Linked DNA regions of Drosophila melanogaster. The protein of the gene in region 1 interacts with the protein of each later gene in a pairwise test. Each region holds a gene or a part of one and is shown in the gene's direction. Other genes may lie near its edges. The genes, in order: Tsp42Ec and CG10274.

Region 1 (4,600 bases):
TTATTCCGCCGTGGAAACCCCAATAGTTGCCAAAATCTTGTTGAAGTTAGGCTGGGAGTGCACTCGCTAAAAGGTTTATTGCTCGATTGATAGTACATAAATCTAGGCGATAAGATCGGGGACTCACGGGGAAACGGACTCCAAGCAACGTAATATGTGAGTCAGCGTGCACCGCGTACTCTTGACTGGTGATAAGGCAAGGTGTGGAGGGTGTGAATGATTCATCTTATGAACGATCTAACGCCCCCAAGATGGAATCGCACGAGGGCTAGATAAAATTCCGCCACCAGCAGTTTGCACCTACCATTCGTTGAATGAATCATTGCGCCAAGGATGTAATTTCCCAGGTTCGGACCACCACAATGATCTGGTATCTCGTGGGTGCAAAGCGATTCACCAAGTACAAGTACATGGGCATCGGAGCTTCCAGCACAAGTACATACGGAATTTTATGGCCGAGATAAGAGCGCAGCCGATAAGATGAGGACTCCGAGTAAGCTTTAATAGCCGCGTTCTGTCCGAGGGCCCATTCAGTTAGACGAACATCGTCACATCGAACGAACGGATTATCCAGCTAGCCAACGAGAAACCCGAACAGAACCCAGCACCATGAACTGTCTATCCGCGATGTTCAAGTACCTGCTGTACTTGCTCAACCTGGTGTTCGTGGCCGGTGGCATCCTGCTCATTGTGGTGGGCTCCATCATGCTCTCCACGATGGGCAACTTTACGGCCTTCGACGGAGGCGTTAACACCCAGACCATCCCGATCTGCATTATCGTCATCGGAAGTGTCACCTTCGTAGTGGCCTTCTTCGGATGCTGCGGCACCATTCGCGAGAACGCCTGCTGCACCACCATCGTAAGCACTCGGAAATCACCCACTGACCGAAATTGGATTCTAAATGACTTGGCATTCCTTTCAGTACGCCATCTGCATGCTGATTCTGTTCGGCCTGCAACTGGCCCTCTCCATCTGGATCTTCGCGGCCAACGACAAGTTCCTGTCCAGCATGGGCAAGGCAGTGGACAAGGCGTGGGATGAGAACAATGCCGCCCAGGGATACCCCATGGATGCCCTCCAGTTGGCCGTAAGTTTATCGAAATTCACCATCAGATGTCATTAGTTTTTTCCGGATATTTACGTATCTATTCCATTGCAGTTCTCTTGCTGTGGCAACACGGGATACCAACAGTATGAAACCGTGCCCAGCTCCTGCTGCGGCTACAAGGATCGCACCAAGGTGTGCGAAGCGGAGATCTACAGCCAGCGACCTGGCTGCCGGCAGGAGTTCGTCGATTTCTGGGCCTCCAATACGGACCTGATTCGATGGAGCAGTCTGATCATCGCCCTCTTCGAGCTGGGCATCTTCATCATGTCGTGCTGCCTGGCCAGCGCGATGAGGAAGCGCTAGAGCCGAAGTCAGATACAATCCTTAGACGTAGCCCAGTTCATAGCATAAATCCAACACACGAATTCCTCACTCACTCACTCACCGTAAATAAACCAGAATAGGTTAAGCCCAATGAAATATTATTGCTTATTCGCTGTCTACCTCTGGCTGCCGTCTATCTAATCAAGACAGGTTGATGTTTTTCCAAAAAGTATGTCCTTATCGGCCTGTTAGCCGAGTGCCGCGTTTCCGAGATCGAATGCCCTCAGTAGTGGTGAATCACCTCCATATGGCAATGGCTATCGATCTCCGCCCGCCGCCCAGTGCCCATTATCTATTTTTCGTTTCGGCCATGATTATGATAACAGGCACTTGCGTATCTTTCCTCCGATAGCGCCCGTGTCTGTTGGCCAATTTAAAAACAGTAGCCCATCTGGAGGAGCAGTCCAATCGAACGACAGTAAACGACGCGAGTGCGCGATAAAATCAGAGACACCGACAACTCCTTTGGATAAAACAATAGTGTTTATTTAATTCTACTAAATACAGGAGCAAACTATATACTTTCAAAATGGGTTGTCTATCGGGAATAGTCAACTTTATTTTATATATTGTCAATATCGTGTTTTTGGTAAGTGCTTGTCGGTTGAGTATCTAAGTAAAAGGAATTAATAATGTAATGAGACGTGTAACAATAGACCAAACACTACTGGGTGCAGATCCCAAATAGGTTCCAATTATGGATAACTTCATACTCTCCAATTACTTGTGTTATAATGAACTTCCAAAAAATGTCCATTAATTATGTTAATTTATTTATCAAACTGTAGATGTTTATTTATTTGCATATAAGACCTTCTAGCTGACTTCTGTCATTCATTAATCAAGTCATATGCAATAAATATTTGTGCAACAAATATCGAACATGTATTATTTAAAACAAGTGAAATGAAATTTGAAAATCCATAAATTACGCATCGGTCGCTTCCTTTCGATTGTCTTTGAGTCACAAGGTTTAACACTATTATTCATATAAATGTGCTGGCATAGATAATAATATCTATCTGTAATGCAAGTGTGGACGGACATACAGAATTTTATCAGTTGATTGACATTATCAGTGTTTTGTAATATAAGTAATGAGCCCAAAATGAGCTTCAAAGGGGGCACACATGCACACAAGTTCACATTTTAGCAAGGCTAAGTTGGAGTGAATAAAAGATCATTTAGAGAATAAACTAAGGAAATACAACAAACTATTATTTACAAATGATTTATTATTTATCCAAATAAATGTGTAGTTACTCGCAGTATTAACGCAGCTAAAAGATACATTTTTCACCTTAAGAATTATGCCAAAAACAAGATAAAGGTGATTAACGTTTGTTTTTTTTATCAGCTACGTTTTTAAACTAGCCATATCCGTCTGATTGTGAATTTCATTAATTTGTATGCAAGTATAAGACTTGATTATTCACTTTGTTAATCACTTTGTCAACTTAAAGAATCAAATGAAGAAATTTAAGTAAATCTTGGTCACCGACATCCTGAAGGCTATTTTAAAAGCTCATATCTTAGTCCAGTTTGCGGACAAGTTTTCAGTACATAGATATTCCCGGATAATTAGAAGTCCATAAAACATTCATTATAATGTGGTATGCTTATGACCATAAAACTGTTAGGCAACCAGAGATGCCTTCTAGTAATACTCCGAATACTTCCAGATCGTTGGCATCCTACTGATCGTGTTGGGCTCGATCATGCTGTCCGATCTGAGCCGCTTCGATGTCGCGGGGAGTGGGACGGACCCGAACACCATCCCCATCTGCGTCACCGTCCTGGGAGGCCTCATCTTCGTGGTGTCCTTCTTCGGGTGCTACGGCATTTTTCGGCAGAGTGTCTGCATGACCGGCGCGGTAAGTTTGCGTGAAGAGCATATCCCAAGGAATTCGAGCTAATTGAAGTTGAATGCTTTGCAGTACACCAGCATGGTTTTTGTGCTCTTTATCCTGCAACTGGTGCTTACGTGCTGGGTGTTCGTGAACCGATCTGCCTTCCTGGGCGATATGTCCAATCTGGTTAACTTGCTCTGGGACTCCCATGACTACACTGCCATGGGCGTTCTTGAGGAAACCTTCGGCTGCTGCGGTGATACGAGCTATACCAACTACAACAACATCGGCCTTTCGGTTCCCGGAACCTGCTGCGGCTACCTGGACCGCCAGGCCACATGCAACACCCCCTCGGTCTACCAGTCGAGGCCCGGCTGCAGCGCCAAGTTCGAGGAGTTCTGGAACGACAACATGGACATCATCCGCTGGTCCGGCCTCGGCCTCTGCATCTTCGACCTGGTCGTCTTCCTCATCGCCGGCGCCCTGACCAACTGCATGCGCAGCCAGAACGCAGGTCGCCAGGTGTACGCCTAAACTTGTGAGGAACAAGCCAAAGGCCAAAGGATCTACATATGTCTACTTATGTTACCATATAACAAACTGTTTTTCGAGCCGTGCCAATATTAATATATACGTCTACATTTCGCCTATTTATCAGTTACTACTTATGTTATTCTTTATACTCTTTTTGGAGCAATGCCAATATTAATATATACCGCTACAACATTTACCATTACTCGTCTTTCTTATAAGGATAAATGGGTTATTTTACCAATTATGATTTTTCTAACTGGCTTAAAACTTCTAAAGAGTATATTTGTTCATCTATGTTTTCCTACAGAATGTGCAGTATTTGAGGCATACACTTAGGCTGTTTTTTTTTTTTTTTTTTGATTGCCCTAATGTTTTCCATAAGTTGGAAAATTTTGGAGAATTGCTGTTATGTTACGCATATGTTAAGACAATAACATTGACCTGAATGTGATAACATTAAATTTCCCTTATTAACATTTGGAACATATCCAAAAAATTCCAATCGCTCCAACTAAGTAACATTTAACAATTTCTCCAATTTATTATGTGACATTCTCAACTTTCAAATAGAAATTTCAATTGTGACTAGATAATGCTACTAATACTAATTTCAAAGAGAATTAGCCAATCCAAGACGAAATCAAATAATATTATTATATTATTATATTATTATTATTAATAATAGCTTTGTAACCCTGACTAAATCATTGACAAATGATTAACGAATCCAAGGTGCAAGAGTTCAACTTGTGATTGATTTATCCAACTGATATTCACACAG
Region 2 (5,585 bases), on another chromosome or scaffold:
CAGCTTCCACATGAAACGCGTGCACAAGGTGGACACCCCGCAGAGGGACTTCCCCTGCACGGAGTGCGAGAAGGTCTTCCGCTGCCCCACTGCCCTCAAGAAGCACATGTACAAGCACACGGGCGAGGAGCTGCCCTTCGCATGTGAAATTTGCGGCAAGCGCTTCCCCATCAATAGTGTGCTGCGCGACCATCTGCTGCGCCATGCGGGCATCAAGAACCATGTGTGCCCGTACTGCGGAGTGGGCAAGACGACGCGCCAGGAGTGGAACAAGCACATCCTTACCCACACGAAGGAGAAGAAGTACGAGTGCCGGCAGTGCGACCACGCCTCCCACAACAAACAGGCGCTGGCCAACCACGTGAAGGTGGTGCACGAGAAGCGCAAGGACTTTGCCTGCCAGTACTGCGGAAAGACCTTTGGCAAGTCGCACGCCTGCAAGATTCACGAGAGAAGTCATACCGGCGAAAAGTGCTGCGAGTGCAAGATCTGCGGCAAGGTGTTCCTCTTCGAGAAGGGCCTAACCAAGCATTTGAAGACGCACGAGAAGCGTGATTTGCCCAAGACGCAGGGGACCAATGCCTTAATGGGCGACGGGGCCAGTGGATCCTCGACAATAGCCAAGCCCAGTCCGCACCTGCGTGGTCGCGTCGAGCGGGTGGACATTGCTCAGTTGGCGGGAACGGTGGCCAATCCAATTCCATCGGTCAACCTGCCCTCGTGGTCGCCGCAAGTGAACTTCACCAAGAAGGAGGGCCAGCATATCTGCCCGGACTGCGGCAAGGGCTTCAATCACGTGAGCAACATGAAGCTGCACTACAAGGTGGTGCATCAAAAGGTCAAAGACTTCTGCTGCCGCTTCTGCCCGAAGAGATTCGCCAAGAAGCAGTACCTGCGGCACCACGAGTACATACACACTGGCGAAAAGCCTTACGAGTGCAAGGTGTGCGGCAAGCATTTCCGGCAGGAGCAGGTGCTCAAGACGCATATGAAGGTGCACGACAAGCCGCCCCGTCCGCCTGGCAAGCCCAAGGAGCCGGCTGGACCCAAGGCGGAGTCCAGCACCGCGGTGAAGCGCCAGCAGCCGAAGAATTTCGAGCAATACCAGGATCCGGCGGCGGAAAGGGCAGCGGCCACCGCCGAGCTGCTGGCCTACCAGATCGAGGAGAACGAGGCCAAGCGCAAGGCGGAGGCGGAGCTCCGGAAGATCCAGGAGGCTGCCTTCGAGCAGCTAAACAAGCTGCAGAAGCAGTCGAACACTTACGACGGCTTCTACGCGCAGAAGGCGGAGGCGGAGGGCACCTCAGTGGACGCACTGAAGTTGGATCATGTTTGAGCGGCAGAATCAAACGGAAATGCTTGCGAGCAAACCCGGCCTCCGTTTCCGATCATTTCATTATGTGTTTCTATGAAGGACATATGAGTTATAGTTCTCTAAGGATTACCAACTAGTTTTCGTCACTTTGCAATTTGATCTTTTTTGTATTTAAATCCCCCCTTTAAACTGCTTAAGTTTGTACTTTACTAATTGTATTCATTTAACAATGATTTAATATAATAAACAGTAATAAGTATTGAACATTTGAATTTTAAATTCGCCCCAGTGCTGGTAAGCGGGTATTGTTGGTAAACAAGACAGAGGTGAGCTGTAATGCTGCCAACTCGTCTGTTTTTTAGCTACATTCCACTAGCTATGCAACTTATATGAGACACATATAAAACTACGTATTTAATTTAGGTTAATACATACATTTATTAAGAATCACACTTAAAATGGCACATATTTTTTAAAACATTTGAAATTTGTTATTGATGCTATCCATATTTCTAGCCGGTTTAATAATTTAGCTATTAAATAACTGTTTGTACTTGGCATCACTGTGGGGTATTTTTTGGTATTTGTTTTGGTTCGTCTGACGCGTAAAGTTTTTCTCGGCTTAATATTCCGCGGATTTGGCCAGCAGATTCCCCCTGGAACAGGCATCATGCAGGAGGAGGCCGAGGCAGCCCAGTACTCGGTGCACGCGGTGTGCCGCATCTGCCTGAATCGCCTGCCGGAGAATGGCGGCGGCGCAGGATCCTTTGACCTGTTCCTGATACCCGGATTGGCCAAGAAACTGTGTGTCTGCACTTCGCTGGCCGTGGAGCAGTCGGATGGCTTCCCCAAGTGTCTGTGCGCGCAATGCTTCAGCCGGCTGGACGATATGCACGAGTTCCAAAAGCTGTGCGTGGACTCGGTGCAAAAGTTCCAGGACATGGTGGCCAGGAACGTCTTTTGCCCGCCAGCGAGTGCGCAGATGAAAAACTTTGATTTGCTCAACGTGGCGGGGAACGAGCCTGAGCTGGTGGGGCAGGACGAGGAGGATCGTATCAACTTCGATCCGCTACTGGATCACAAAATGGAGATGATCGAGAACGAGGAGGATGTGTTCAAGATGTTGGAGCACGTGGACAAGGAGGCCGAGCAGGTGGAGAAGGAAGTGAAGCAAGATGAATTGGACGCCGCCGATCTGATGACCATCTTTGCCGCGGAATCCTCGGAGGAGAGCGAAGAAGATATTGACCAAGATGTGGACTTTGAGCCCAACAGTAGCGATGGTGACGATGATGTGCCTTTGGCCCAGCGCTTACGGGATAATTCGCGGATGATACCAAAAGCAAAGGCAGCCGTAATTAAGGAAGAGGACCAAGAGTTCCCAACAGGCTCCGAAGAGGAGGACGAGGACGGAGAAAAGTCAAAGAGTCGACGCAAGAGGATTCCGCCTGGCGAACGGCACCTGCACCGCATCATTGACTGCCACATTTGTCACCAAAAGTTCAAGAAGGCCATCCGCTACGAAGAGCACATGAAGCACCACAACGACCTGCTGCCCTTCCAGTGCAAAGTGGAAACCTGCAGGAAAGGTGTGTAATGATGGCTCCAAATCGCATTCTCGTTTTGATCACTGGCATTTACAGGTTTCACCACCGCTGGAGGATTACGACTTCACATCGACCACGCCCACACGGAGCTATCCGAGGTGCACTCCTGCAATGTCGATGGCTGCGGCAAGACCTTTCCGCGCATACGCCTGCTCACCTTTCACATGAAGAAGATGCACGGCATCACCAAGGCAGCGGCGCCCCCACGGGATTACCCTTGCACCGAGTGCGAGAAGGTATTCCGCTGTCCCATGGCGCTCAAGAAGCACATGTACAAGCACGACGGCAAGGAGTTGCCTTTCCCCTGTAACATCTGTGGCAAAAGGTTCGTAATCAATAGTGCTCTAAAGGATCATCTGATGCGGCATGCGGGCATTAAGAACTACGTGTGTCCGTACTGTGGCGTGGGAAAAACCACCAGGCAGGAATGGAACACACACATACTGACGCATACCCAGGAGAAGAAGTTCAAGTGCCACATATGCGAGCACGCATCGCACAATAAGCAGAGCCTGGCCAACCACATTAAGATCGTGCACGAGAAGATCAAAAACTATGCGTGTCAATACTGTGGAAAGACCTTTGGCAAGTCACACGCCTGCAAGATCCACGAGATGACGCACACGGGGGAAAAGCGCTGTGAGTGCAAGGTAAGGGTAGAAAGATATTTTAAGCCAGCGTCGTCATTGCAACGTTTTGTTTTTAATATTCTTAGGTTTGTGGAAAGAAGTTTCTCTATCCTAAGAGTCTGACCAAGCACTTGAAGACTCATGAGAAGCGTGTGCTTCGTGCTATTGAGACCTACCGCCAGCGGCAGGTGGAAATGGGCGAGACGCCTGGTGAACAGTTCGACAATCCACCCGCGCCACCAGTTGAGGGCATATCCATTGAGCCGATCATGTCCCGAAACGCTGCCGACGAATTGCTTAAGGTGTGCGCCGAATCCGTGGCCACCATTCCCAAAGATCCACGCCGTGTACAACGAGTGGATCTGGCGCAGTTGGCTGGCACTGCTGTGAACCCCATACCCTCTGTTTCAGTGCCGTCGTGGTCGCCGCAGGTGAACTTTACCAAGAAGGAGGGCAAACATATCTGCCCCGGTTGTGGTCAGGGATTCAACAATATCGGAAACATGAAGCGGCACTATAAGATCATCCACGAAAAGGTCAAAGATTTTGCCTGCCGCTTTTGCCCCAAAAGATTCGCAAAGGCTCAAACGTTGAGGCATCACGAGTGGATTCATACGGGCGAGAAACCCTTTGAGTGCAAGACCTGCGGCACCCATTTCCGCCAGGAGACGGCGCTGAAGCGCCACCAGCGCACCCACGAGAACCGTCCACCCGTCATTTCGCCCAAGTTTTATGCCGCTCGCGAGGAGCTGGAAGAGCAGGAACGCAGCAAGCGAGAGGCGAAGCGCCAGGCGGATGCGAAGCGGCGCGAAATTGCGGAGGCGGCCAAGGAGCAGCTATCGTCGCTGCACAAGCTTGAAAGTAGTGACCGCAGCCTGCACTCCTACGATGAGTACCAGGAGGCAGCGGCGGAGCGAGCAGCGGCATCCGCTGAACTCCAGGCGCAGCAGTTTGAAGAGAACGAAGTAAAGCGACTGGCGGAGGAGGAGCGCCGCAAGGTTCAGGAGGCTGCCTACGAGCAACTGCAACTGTTGCAGCATCAGCAGGAGGTTGACAAGGCGCAAAGCTCCTACGATGGCTACTACGCTCAAAAAGCACATGCCGATGGCACCACTTTGGATGCTTTAAAAATCGATCATGTCTGAGATTTGGCCAGCGTTTAACGCTGTCACAGATGGTAAATCAATCCTGGGTTTTTTTTATGAAAAGCAATACCTTATAATCCTTATGAGAACAGTGTGTGTAAGATGGATATGATATAGTTTTAAGCTGAAAATATTCTTTAATACTATTTAATATAATGTCCTTAACTGTAGTACAAATAATACTGTACATTATTCAGGAGAACACAGAATACCTATGTGAATTCGACTTAAGTTTAATGATTCTGGTCTGAATGGAGAGGTTGCATGTCAAATATCATCTTTTCAATAGATGAATTGATTGTGGCAGTTATATATTTATATATAAAGATTGTTTATAAGTAGCTTAAAAAATAAATTTGCCCTATTAAGAGCTTAAATCTAATCGGAATTTTTTGTTTTAAATTCATAAGTTTTACTCCTCCTTGAGTATGAATAGCTTCTTAAGGCTGTCTAGTGTCATGTTCTCCAGATCCCAGTGGGTCGACAGCGTAGTCGTGTCATCGGCTGAAGTAATTAGCGATAGAATATTCTCCTCAATCGTTTCATTCACAATGAAACGATGCACCTTCGTGGGTCTAAAAACAATTGTATTGAAACTGACAGCAACTTCACTTCAATAGCGCGCACTCACCTCTTTTGCCCAAATCGGTGAATACGACCTATGGCCTGGCGCTCGTCTCCCGGATTTAGAATGGGTTCGACGAGGAAAACATGTGTGGCTTCGATCAGGTTCAAACCCTTTGAGCCTTTGGACAGTGGCATTAGTAGACAGGTAACATTGCTCAACGGATTCTAAAGGAGGAAAAATGTTTAGCAGTGATAAATTAAATTTAACAGCAAGATAAAAACCTTGAAATCATCAAAGTCCTTATTTGTGCACTTATTGCGG

Evidence for each region.
Region 2: the proteins of Tsp42Ec (region 1) and CG10274 interact in a two-hybrid assay, tested with the Drosophila melanogaster proteins (one large-scale study listed by BioGRID).

The regions. Positions count from the first base shown.
Region 1 is NT_033778.4:7,004,609-7,009,208, forward strand, and holds Tsp42Ec (tetraspanin 42Ec), read left to right. Parts: upstream 1-1,833; 5' UTR 1,834-1,964; coding exon 1,965-2,024; intron 2,025-3,117; coding exon 3,118-3,309; intron 3,310-3,372; coding exon 3,373-3,819; 3' UTR 3,820-4,014; downstream 4,015-4,600. Other genes in the region: CG30160 (uncharacterized protein), read left to right, coding at 610-861, 926-1,090, 1,163-1,414.
Region 2 is NT_037436.4:6,178,168-6,183,752, reverse strand, and holds CG10274 (uncharacterized protein), read left to right. Parts: upstream 1-1,923; 5' UTR 1,924-1,985; coding exon 1,986-2,904; intron 2,905-2,958; coding exon 2,959-3,572; intron 3,573-3,637; coding exon 3,638-4,696; 3' UTR 4,697-5,076; downstream 5,077-5,585. Other genes in the region: D19B, read left to right, coding at 1-1,336; CG7376 (uncharacterized protein), read right to left, coding at 5,109-5,271, 5,328-5,488, 5,546-5,585.